Linked DNA regions of Bombyx mori. The protein of the gene in region 1 purifies or fractionates together with the protein of each later gene. This does not show direct contact. Links are inferred from orthologs where the notes say so. Each region holds a gene or a part of one and is shown in the gene's direction. Other genes may lie near its edges.

The links. Proteins that work in one complex are often made in the same cells at the same time.
Region 2: the proteins of protein phosphatase methylesterase 1 (region 1) and serine/threonine-protein phosphatase 4 catalytic subunit purify together in Homo sapiens (affinity purification with mass spectrometry; 3 studies listed by BioGRID and IntAct, with this or other methods). This does not show direct contact. The link is inferred for Bombyx mori from reciprocal best matches to the Homo sapiens genes PPME1 and PPP4C.

Annotation. Positions count from the first base shown.
Region 1 is NC_085113.1:11,192,749-11,198,877, forward strand, and holds the start of protein phosphatase methylesterase 1, read left to right. Parts: upstream 1-2,551; 5' UTR 2,552-2,663; coding exon 2,664-2,737; intron 2,738-2,759; exon of another isoform or gene 2,760-2,881; coding exon of another isoform or gene 2,882-2,883; intron 2,884-2,953; coding exon 2,954-3,155; intron 3,156-4,327; coding exon 4,328-4,437; intron 4,438-4,761; coding exon 4,762-4,919; intron 4,920-5,595; coding exon 5,596-5,676; intron 5,677-6,129. Other genes in the region: zinc finger protein with KRAB and SCAN domains 8, read right to left, coding at 1,420-1,687, 1,986-2,150. UniProt on the Homo sapiens protein: Demethylates proteins that have been reversibly carboxymethylated. Demethylates PPP2CB (in vitro) and PPP2CA. Binding to PPP2CA displaces the manganese ion and inactivates the enzyme.
Region 2 is NC_085122.1:4,603,082-4,607,309, reverse strand, and holds the start of serine/threonine-protein phosphatase 4 catalytic subunit, read left to right. Parts: upstream 1-1,428; 5' UTR 1,429-2,025; intron 2,026-2,158; 5' UTR 2,159-2,181; coding exon 2,182-2,331; intron 2,332-2,754; coding exon 2,755-2,907; intron 2,908-3,946; coding exon 3,947-4,065; intron 4,066-4,228. Other genes in the region: flotillin-2, read right to left, coding at 1,158-1,206. UniProt on the Homo sapiens protein: Protein phosphatase that is involved in many processes such as microtubule organization at centrosomes, maturation of spliceosomal snRNPs, apoptosis, DNA repair, tumor necrosis factor (TNF)-alpha signaling, activation of c-Jun N-terminal kinase MAPK8, regulation of histone acetylation, DNA damage checkpoint signaling, NF-kappa-B activation and cell migration.

The DNA of each region.
Region 1 (6,129 bases):
CAAACAAATGAACCCTTAAAAAGTTATATTATGTTCAATATATGGTATTTATAAATGTGTATTTTACAAGAACTCCATTTTCAACTCAATTTTAAGTAAACTCAAATACACCAAATATAAGGAACCAATCAAACAGAAAATAGAACATTTTAGGAAGCACAGACATAGTCAAACCAGTAGAGCCTCAGCATCGGACCAAGTCACAAAGAGAAAAGAGGATAAGTTTGTTCCTAATATATGGGAAGACAACATATCTAAAATTTATAAATTAAGAACAACTATGCAATAATTTAAGCTGCATCCACCATTTTCCTGATCGAAGAAATATACTTAAAACTTACACACTTAACAGATAAGTGATCCATGACTAGGCCCAATGAATACAATTATTTGTGTCAGAATTATTTCCCTAGATAGGTGGATGGCTAGATGATATTGTTCCTTCATTAGAAGTCATGTCTGAACATTGGGTCAAGATCATATTACATTAGAAAATGTTATACTAGAGTATGGAATTTGAACGCCATAGTCCATAATATCAAATCCTACTACCATCACAGGTTGATCAGGTATTTTAAATTACTGTTTACATTAAGATAACTTACATTATGTACATTAAGATAACTTAATTGGAATTAACTTTGATGACATTTTTAATTAGATAGGTAATTCTTATCAATTTGTTAACAAATTGATTAATAATATTTTTTTTCGGTAGGCAGCGGCTTGGCTCTGCCCTTGGCATTGCTGAAGTCCATGGGCGACGGTAACCACTCACCATCAGGTGGGCCGTATGCTCGTCTGCCTAAAAGACAATAAAAATAAAAAAAAAGATCAAAATATTTTCAGTCATTATGATGCTTTGTTGGTAAAAACCTTATTCAGTGATTACTGGAGCTCATTAACATCACAAGGTGAAAGTTGTCACCTGTCTTGAGACTGTTTGAGTATCAATTATGTTGCATTTATTTTTAAAATATAAATTTGGCTCCAACACCTTTGATTTTGCCAATGTCAAAGTATGAACAAAAATGGCAGGTGCTTAGAGAGAAAAAAAATACTAAATACAAATAAATTTGATCAGTTTTGCCATAAGCATATCTGTGATTTTAAGACAAACAAATTTATGTTACTAACTACTTTAAAGATAAATATTATTAGCAGATAAAAATTTACACAGAACATTTACATGTTTAGAATAAAGTTAATAAAATTATGTTGAATTATGACTGTCTCACCCGTCAAATTGGAATGGCTGACTTTGCCAGTGAAATAGCCAGGATGGTGGTACTTTCACATTTATGCTATCAAAATACTTTATCACCAAGCTTCAACTAACCATGCTAAGAGCTCAATATCTTGAGAATTGGAGATCTAAGCTTCCAGTATGAACATTTGAAAATGAACATAGTTACTTACCAGTTTTGATATCGTTTTTAATACCATCTTCATCTGATACACAAGATGGTTTAGTATCATCTAGACTATCACTTTCCCTTTTAAGCTCATTGTATTCCTGTTTTATATCTTGATTGGGAATACTATTTAATTCTATGCCATTTTGCGATATGACATTCCGTAATTCAACATCACTTTTCTCGCATTGTAAGTTGAAGGCGTACACTTTTTTCAACTGTCGACTGCAGTCTTTGCAGATGCCTCGAGGTAGTCCGTCATCAACTATTGGCTAAAATTATTTTTAAATAAATGACTCATTATTTTTCTCTACGATATCTTTAATTTAGATTCGAAACTAGTTGTTTCTGTTACATTCTTGTTTGTTATCAAAATTTGACGCCACTATGCAAATTTACTCGGTTTCATAATGAAGCTAGTATTTTTTGGTAATTAATGAAGTTAATTTAAAACAACAAAGCTTGTTATCTTAAGTGTTTACGGGAGTTTTATTCAAATTTAGTTTTTCATTATCATTTTCCAGAGAACGATTGCGTTTAATTTTTTTTCAAATTTCCATTCTAACGTACCTTTAATTTCGTACAACTAGCCAACATTTCACTGTATAACGTTTTTCTTTTCACATAGTAACAGGTAAAAATATCGAAAATTTGTTTGCTTGTTTGTAAGCATATTCTGCACATTGTTTTCAGATTAAGATAGGTCACTGACGACTCGGAACTATTCGACATCATCAGTACTACACTAATTTGAAACTTACATTAATAATAAATCAAAACATTTACATTTCTTTTTAAAAAAAAAATTAATTACAAAATTGGTAATCGAAACACAACACCACACAAACAATGTCAAGTTGCGTTTAATTTTTTTGTGTTCAAATAAATAGGTCATAATGTTGGTAATTTTAAGATAAAATGATTAGAAAAATAAGTTGCACGCGTATTTTTACAGAATTAATTTAACTCACTGTACTAAAAATCGTAAACATATATTACCAAAAAATCTAATTTCGTTTTATTACAAGAATCACTCTTGGCAGATGGGAGTATGCAAGAATAAAACGATCAATTTTAGTCGATTGTCACATCTATTTTATACATCAAATTTAGAGCTCAACTCAAAGAAACGCTTCGGATTTCTGACAGCTAGATAAAATGTCGGCGTTCGAGTAAATGTCATCTGTGCTGTTTGTTTTCGAAAATTGTTGAATTATAGCAAAACAACAGGTTACTTAAACTAAAACCATGTCGACATTGCAAAAGACTATTATGAAAAATAAACTGCCACCAAGATGTCCTAAAACGTCTGGTGTATCCAAGTATGTTTGACATTCCGCTTAGAATATCTTGAAATTTGACAGACTTCTTTGAGTATTAAATTTTAACTGTGTATTTTAATTAAGATTCGATTAGAAATCTTCAGTAATCTAACGAAAAACACTAGTTCATAAACCATAAATAAAATGTACTGTTTTTTTCTTAAAATTTCAGCAACAAATTATTATTGCGGTTTTTCAAATTCAATCGTATCTCAGGTTGGCGCCTTTCGGTGCTGGGCGCCGTAAAGACTATACACCAGTATCTTGGAAGCAGTATTTTGAAAGGTTCGTTGATGTGGAAACCGATGGAGGAACTTTCCGGGTGTACCTGTCGCCGGAGCCCGATCACCCTCAAAGACCTAGATTTGTAACTCTTCATGGAGGGGGATACTCGGGACTCAGCTGGGCATTGTTTACTGTAAGTTTTGAAATGTTTTGTTAATTACCCATCGGAAAAAATTGTAATAACTTATGAATCTGTTGGATGCTCACTATTAAGTTGTGGTATTTTTAACTTATATGTAGTTTGATATGGGATATTAAAAGCTTCAAAATTCTTCATTTTTAGCTGTCCTAATGTCGAAAAGGAATTCTTTAGCATAACCATGACACGATATTCAATTTCTAAGCTAACCATAAATAAATAACCGTGGTGGTGCCTTGTAATCAATATATGGGACAAGTTTTTATACTAGTGTTTTTTTTAGATTAGTTTTATTTTAGATTAGTGGATGACATAACAAAATTACACAGTGTGGTCACACTACAACTTTATTAATGTTGACTCGAACACTATTTAATATTTATGGACATTTTACTATGTGTGTATGATGTATGTATACACAAATCCTAACTAGTGGCAACTCTATTATCTAAAATTTATTGCGTTTTTTACTAACAAATGTTAGATTAGACTATTAGATGTTTTTACATTAAAATTGATTTTGCACTTCGATAAAGCGGCACGACACGAGAACCCTCTGATCGTGGCTGCCAGTAACTACATTCCCGACCTTGCGGACAGAATGGAAAGCAGTCGACGTCGCCCCAACCCGTCGCCTGCGACGAAGGGCTCGACGAGTAAATTAACCCACAGACACAGCCCACTGAGTTTCTCGCCGGATCTTCTCAGTGGGTCGCGTTTCCGATCCGGTGGTAGATTCTGTGAGCACGGCTCTTGCTAAGGTTCGTGCTAGCAACGTCATTAGGTTTGAGCCCCGTGAGCTCACCTACTAGTTGAGGTTACGCTGTCTGGCGGGTAGCCATCATACAACGCAAGATATTTGACAGATGCCTGAATCTTGCATATATACAAGTTCCGAACAACCACATTCGGACCATCGGTCTGCCGAGCAAATATCACCCGCTCGGTGAAAGATCTTCCCTTTGTCGTTAAACACCCCAAAGCTGACATAGCCTCTCAAGGCTATCAGCTTAGGTAGGAAAAAAAACGATTTTGTTTCTGCATCTTGTTTGATTACTACTAATGAAGTTGTAGAAACGAACGATTCTAAGAAATTAGTCTTCAAATCTAAAAGTCACAGTTTTATCTTCTAAGATCATTATCACATTTATTGTATTGTTTTACAGGAGGAAATCACAAACATGGTGCACTGCCAAGTTGTGTCAATAGACCTAAGGGGCCACGGTGAAACAAAAGCAAACGACTCTGATGATCTCAGCGCTGAAACATTGGTTAAGTGAGTATAATTAATTTTTAGTATCTATTTTCTAAGAATATGTAATAAAAATACCACATTATTAAAATGGTGATGAATAGAATCTTAGTTGTCTTTCATACAAAAAATAGCTGTGAAATAATATAATGAAAATAACAAGCACGAAATTACACAGTAAAAGTGGTTTAAGTCATATTTATGACTTGAGTAAATTAAAGATAATATTCTACATAATATATACTTCAGTTAAAAAATATAAAAATTTAAATTGGGACATGAAAACATATATAAATAGTCATAAGTTTTTATTGTTTATAATGAATCTTAAAACATTTTGATTTCCAGAGACGTTGAACAAGTGCTACACAAGTTGTACGGTGATAGCTTACCACCTATAATACTGGTAGGACATTCAATGGGAGGAGCTATAGCAGTTAGGACTGCTCTCCTACCAACACTAGAACCATTTGTGCAGGGAATAGCAGTGATTGATGTTGTCGAGGGTAAGAAATAGTTGAAAGATTTATAATAACTTGAACGGTGAAAAAGATTAATGTTGCACAGTTATCAAAATTCTGTTTTCATTTTGGTATTTCATTTATTATGAATTTCTAATGGCCACGAGATTTACTTCAGGAGCTAGACTGCGGTTTGTATTCAGTGCCGTGCACTTTTGTGATTATTTCAAAAGGTTAAATGCAGATTATCATGAAGTAGTATTGATTACAAATCACTAGTCATTATGCTAGATGCATTAGACTAGGCAATTATTATTAAGAGCCTATTGACAACAATCAATTTTCTTTGAAACATGAAGTAATATAACACAAAATAATATTCTAAACTTCACCAAAAGTAAGGGAAAACACAACTCAAACCGGAACACAACGGCTTTGTGCCAGTATAGGCAGGACAAGTGTATCAACCTCACAATCAGACAAGGTCCATTGGTTTTGTATAATTATAAACTTTGTGGGTCACATTACACCAGGAGATATTTTATAGTGGAACTTGAAAGTTATTACTACATCGCAATTCAATCTTGATCTACATAACTAAACCCATTATCTAATCTGTTAGGGCATGGATGGTACTAATTGTTCTTTTGTTACTTGTAAGATGATTATGAAGCTACCCTTATAGTACTTGTCATAATTATATCGAAGTTTCGTTCCGTAGGGATTCCACCAAACTGTACTGGAGCAGCCTGGTGGAGCATGCTCCACTCCTCTGGTTATGAGGAGAGACAGTTGCCCGAGAGTAGGTCGCATGGATTCATATTATATAGGAAATGCTTTTAGTTACTCAAAGTCAGTTGATTTCAGATATTAGAATTTGAAAGGCATTATAATAAACCTCATTTCCCAAAAGAAATTCACTTAGTATAAGTTTCCAAACATACAGTCAAATTAAGAAATTCTCACGGATCGTTTGGAACCCCTGGGTCTGCGGAGGGACTTCGGTTTCCTCTGTATTTGGTACTGTATGTTCCATGGGGAGCGCTCTGAGGAATTGTGTGAGATGGTTCCCTCATCTCCTTTTTATCATCGCACCTCCCGCCATCGGAGCAGAGTTCATCCATATTATCTGGAACCGCTGCGTTCATCGACAGTGCGTTTTCAGAGGTCTTTTTTGCCACATACCATCCGGCTATGGAATGAGCTCCCCTCCACGGTGTTTCCCGAGCGCTATGACATGTCTTTCTTCAAACGA
Region 2 (4,228 bases), on another chromosome or scaffold:
TAAATTTAAATTCATCTTCCTCTCACAGGTTAGTATTTGGGTTGTTTTGTCTACCAAAACTACTGTGATGACTTATCAGCTGGTGGGCTTTAAGCTTGTCTGCCCTGCTACAGCAAAAAATGAGTCTTATTATATTATGATAAGTGGCGATGCCTGCATCAAGATTTATTTAATGTTGTTCAGCAATAAATAATAATTAATTATCGTTTATAGATTAAGAAATAAGAAGTTACATTGCTGGATAATAGCAAGGGCCAAGAGTCATTTTTTGGAAATGTCATTATATCAAATGCACATAATAAAAAAAATTCTTAACATCAGATTTAGAAATCGATAAGGATATCAAAAGTATGATATGAAACAGAAAAATTTACTCTTGATCCAAATTTACTATTTTCAATTATTGCTCTATTTTTGTTTCATGTCATACGACACTAAAGCCACACCAAAATTAGAATTACAGTGACCAGGCAGTAGGCAGCAGCTCGGTAGTGGTCCATTACTCCAGTAACTACTCACCATCAGGTGGGCTGTATGCCTACTGCCTACAAGGCAATGAAAAAATAAAAATGGTAAATGTCATGCGTAGAAAAATCAAAATCATCATGAATGCAATGTCTCAGCTGCATAAGATTTGGGCAGACAGGTAAAAAATATTAATGATAAATTAAATAACATGTATTAGGTCATTTTTTCTTTGGTCTAATCAACACAAATGATAAAGATAAATTTGTCTATTTTCCTTTTGTTTTTTTCTAATGACACTGATACAATTTTCCTTACAGCATCTAATTTGACGAAATTCAATGATATTAAATGTACGTTATATGAAAATTAATTAAATTTATGATGAAAAGTGGGAGTAAATTAGTATTGATTACCAAAAGTTTAAATACAGTATATCTAATGAAATCACTTTTACAAAATAAACACTGAAAATAAAATTCAGTATACAAGGACAAAAATGTAATAGAAATGTTAGATATCTGTTTATGTCATTTTTTAACACTTACATACTTTTTAGTGCTGTAATAATTTAGGTAGTGAATAATACCTACTATTACCTACTGAAATATTTGTGAAACTAAATTAGGCGCACTTAATATTAAGATAATATGAACAGAAATGGTTCGGTTTTAGTGAATTATATGACATACCTGAAACTATTAGCGCCTCGTTAGGACCGACAGTGTGGATGTTGCCCATTTTGAATCCTTTTACAGTGACTTTCACGATACACACACTGCACTTCACAACTAAAACGATAACAAACTTGTTTAATTTACCGAAAAATCAATAAATATAAAAACAACAGTGACAATGAACGAACCGAATGAATGTCATTAATGATAACTACACCCATTCACCATCCCACCCACCCTTTTTTTTACGGGATTTTATAGCCTGGTAATTTTAGCCTAGCTATGGTTTTTTTTGGCGGGAACGCGAGGAGTGAAGTTGTGTGATTTGTTTTATTTTGTCTATTTAGTGTTTCTTCGGGTTTAAATGTGTAATAATGGTGGTTTATTAACCGTTTAATATCTGTGAAAGTGCACAAATGTGGGAAAATGAAACAAAGCCGCTGGACGTAACTTCTCGGGATCCTCCAAAAAGTCCACTGAAAAATCTTAGTAAATGACCACCATTTTACTGAGATTAGATTTCATCTCATATCATCTCATTTAATTTCATCCCAGTTGATTAATGTCTCAAATTAATCATTTTCATTTCATTTCACTCCATAATATCATTTTTCATAAAATTAAGAATATAGATTAAAATAAGACATGACTTAAAGGTCTCAGTTACCAGGTCATAAAATCTCTTAAAAAAAAAAAAAAAAGCTACCAACCAGCCATAGCATATCTGATACAGTAAATATATTTGAGCCATAGACTAAACACAATTCTATATACTACGGTCAATGGCGGATGCGTTAGAATTGTCGAACGAAAGTATTGTAATAATTGAGATATCAGTAACGAAATTAGATAAAAACATTCAACTGTTGTTGAAATAGACATTGTAAGTACTATACAATAAAATTATCTTCATTGTCTTTATAACCTAACAATTTGGTGGTTCGTTGTGTTCTGGTTTATCCCCACTGAAAGAATGCCCAATTTTTCTATGTAAACTGAAATGTGTATCTCTTAAGGTAACGTGACCGAGTGTTTTAACATGTCTGATACGAGCGATCTCGATCGTCAGATCGAACAGCTGAAAAGATGTGAGATTATAATGGAAGCAGAAGTAAAAGCCCTATGCGCTAAAGCTCGAGAAATTTTGGTAGAAGAAAGTAACGTTCAAAGAGTGGATTCGCCCGTAACGGTAATGTATATTATGTAAATATTCACAATATATTCAAATAATAATGCTATCATTGTGCTATCAAATGATTTCACAAATTTAAATTACACATATTTATATGTTAATAAGTTCTTTATAACCCATAACAACATATCAAATTGCAGTAATTCTTTTATGAATCATAATAATATGCGTAATAATAAAGAAATTGTAATTGTAAATGTAATGAATTGTTACGTTTGCTTAGTATACATTGAATGTTATAAGTATCTTATAAAAAATAAACCATTCTCAACTATTAAGTGAACAAATATTCAAGTGAAATCAAAATTTATTAAACCATGAAAGCTTGTGAGATGTAACAGAAAATTCAAATCAATATACATATAAGTAAATCCTCTGCATGAACATGGGAAATGACACAATAATATATTTTATCCATAGGTTTGTGGAGACATACATGGACAGTTTTATGATCTAAAGGAACTTTTCAAAGTTGGAGGTGATGTACCCGAAACAAATTATTTATTTATGGGAGACTTTGTGGACAGAGGATTTTATTCTGTTGAAACTTTCTTATTGTTACTTGCACTAAAGGTAATTTTTAACATTATTATTGAACAATAATCACACATTAATTACATTGCATTAGTATCTCAAGAGTGAACATTATGATCTTTATTGATACGTCAGAAGTTGCCTGTTCTCTTGCCTCGAGCTCTTGTTTGAAAAGCGTATGCAAATTAATGATTCAGATTGTGTTTTACGATTTATTCACCTTGCTTATAACCATGAATCTTTGAGTCATGACTCATCCAGTTCTCTCCAGTATGATTAAAATACTATAGTACTCTATATAAAAGGGAAGAAGACCATAGCAACTAAACTGACCTCTTGCAACTCTAAGGAGCTTCTAATTGATACCTGTTGAATGTTTTAGTGGCTCCCATGTTTCATCACTGTGCACGGATATAAAGTATACATGAGTGCCCACAAGTTTTAAATCATTATTAATGTCTACTAAAGTAAATCATATAATATACATGATTGTTTAAAGTAGCAGTCATAAAATGGTAGTAGCTTATATGGAAGCTGAGTTGACACTGGCCTGTCTTATATTAAGCTAAGTCCATAGAAGAATTGTACATTTCATTCAAAAAGAATTGGAAAAACAGTGTTTGCATTTCAGGCAACAGTACTTATTTTCTCTGCAACAAAAATAATAAATATAGTAAATAAAATACAGTAAAGCTAGTTTTGCCTTAAGAAAACATAAAAATGTACCTGAAACATAGTTTTTATTATAATATTGGGAAGAAGATAGAACAGACTTATCAATAGTTTCAGTAATATGATCAACCAATTTCGGACCACCCAAACACTTTCATATTTATAAAATACATAAATTTTTATATCAATATTGTTGAAACTACTTCTAAGGTTTAATCTCTCATTTTTTATTGCCATGAAAACCTTTGGAAATAATATAATGACAATGTAATATGCAAGACTAAACCATATAAGCTTATAACCTCTGACTCTCGAAAAGTTTAGATAGATGTGGTTAAATAGCAAAAAATAACATACTAACTGAATTAAACTAAATTTTTAAAGTTGTATTATATTTAAAATTTAGGTTAGGTATCCAGATCGCATAACACTCATCAGAGGAAATCATGAATCGAGACAAATCACACAGGTTTATGGTTTCTACGATGAGTGCCTTAGGAAATATGGTTCCATCACTGTGTGGAGGTTAGTGGCTGATATTCAAAATACATAATTTCATTGGATGCTACTTATTAACATATGTTTGCAACTGACTACCACTATCAAAAAGTAATATTATGTGCTCAAAATCAAACCTGCAAAAGTAATAAACTGCACAATTACTAGTGTTAGGACGTCATGTTAGTCC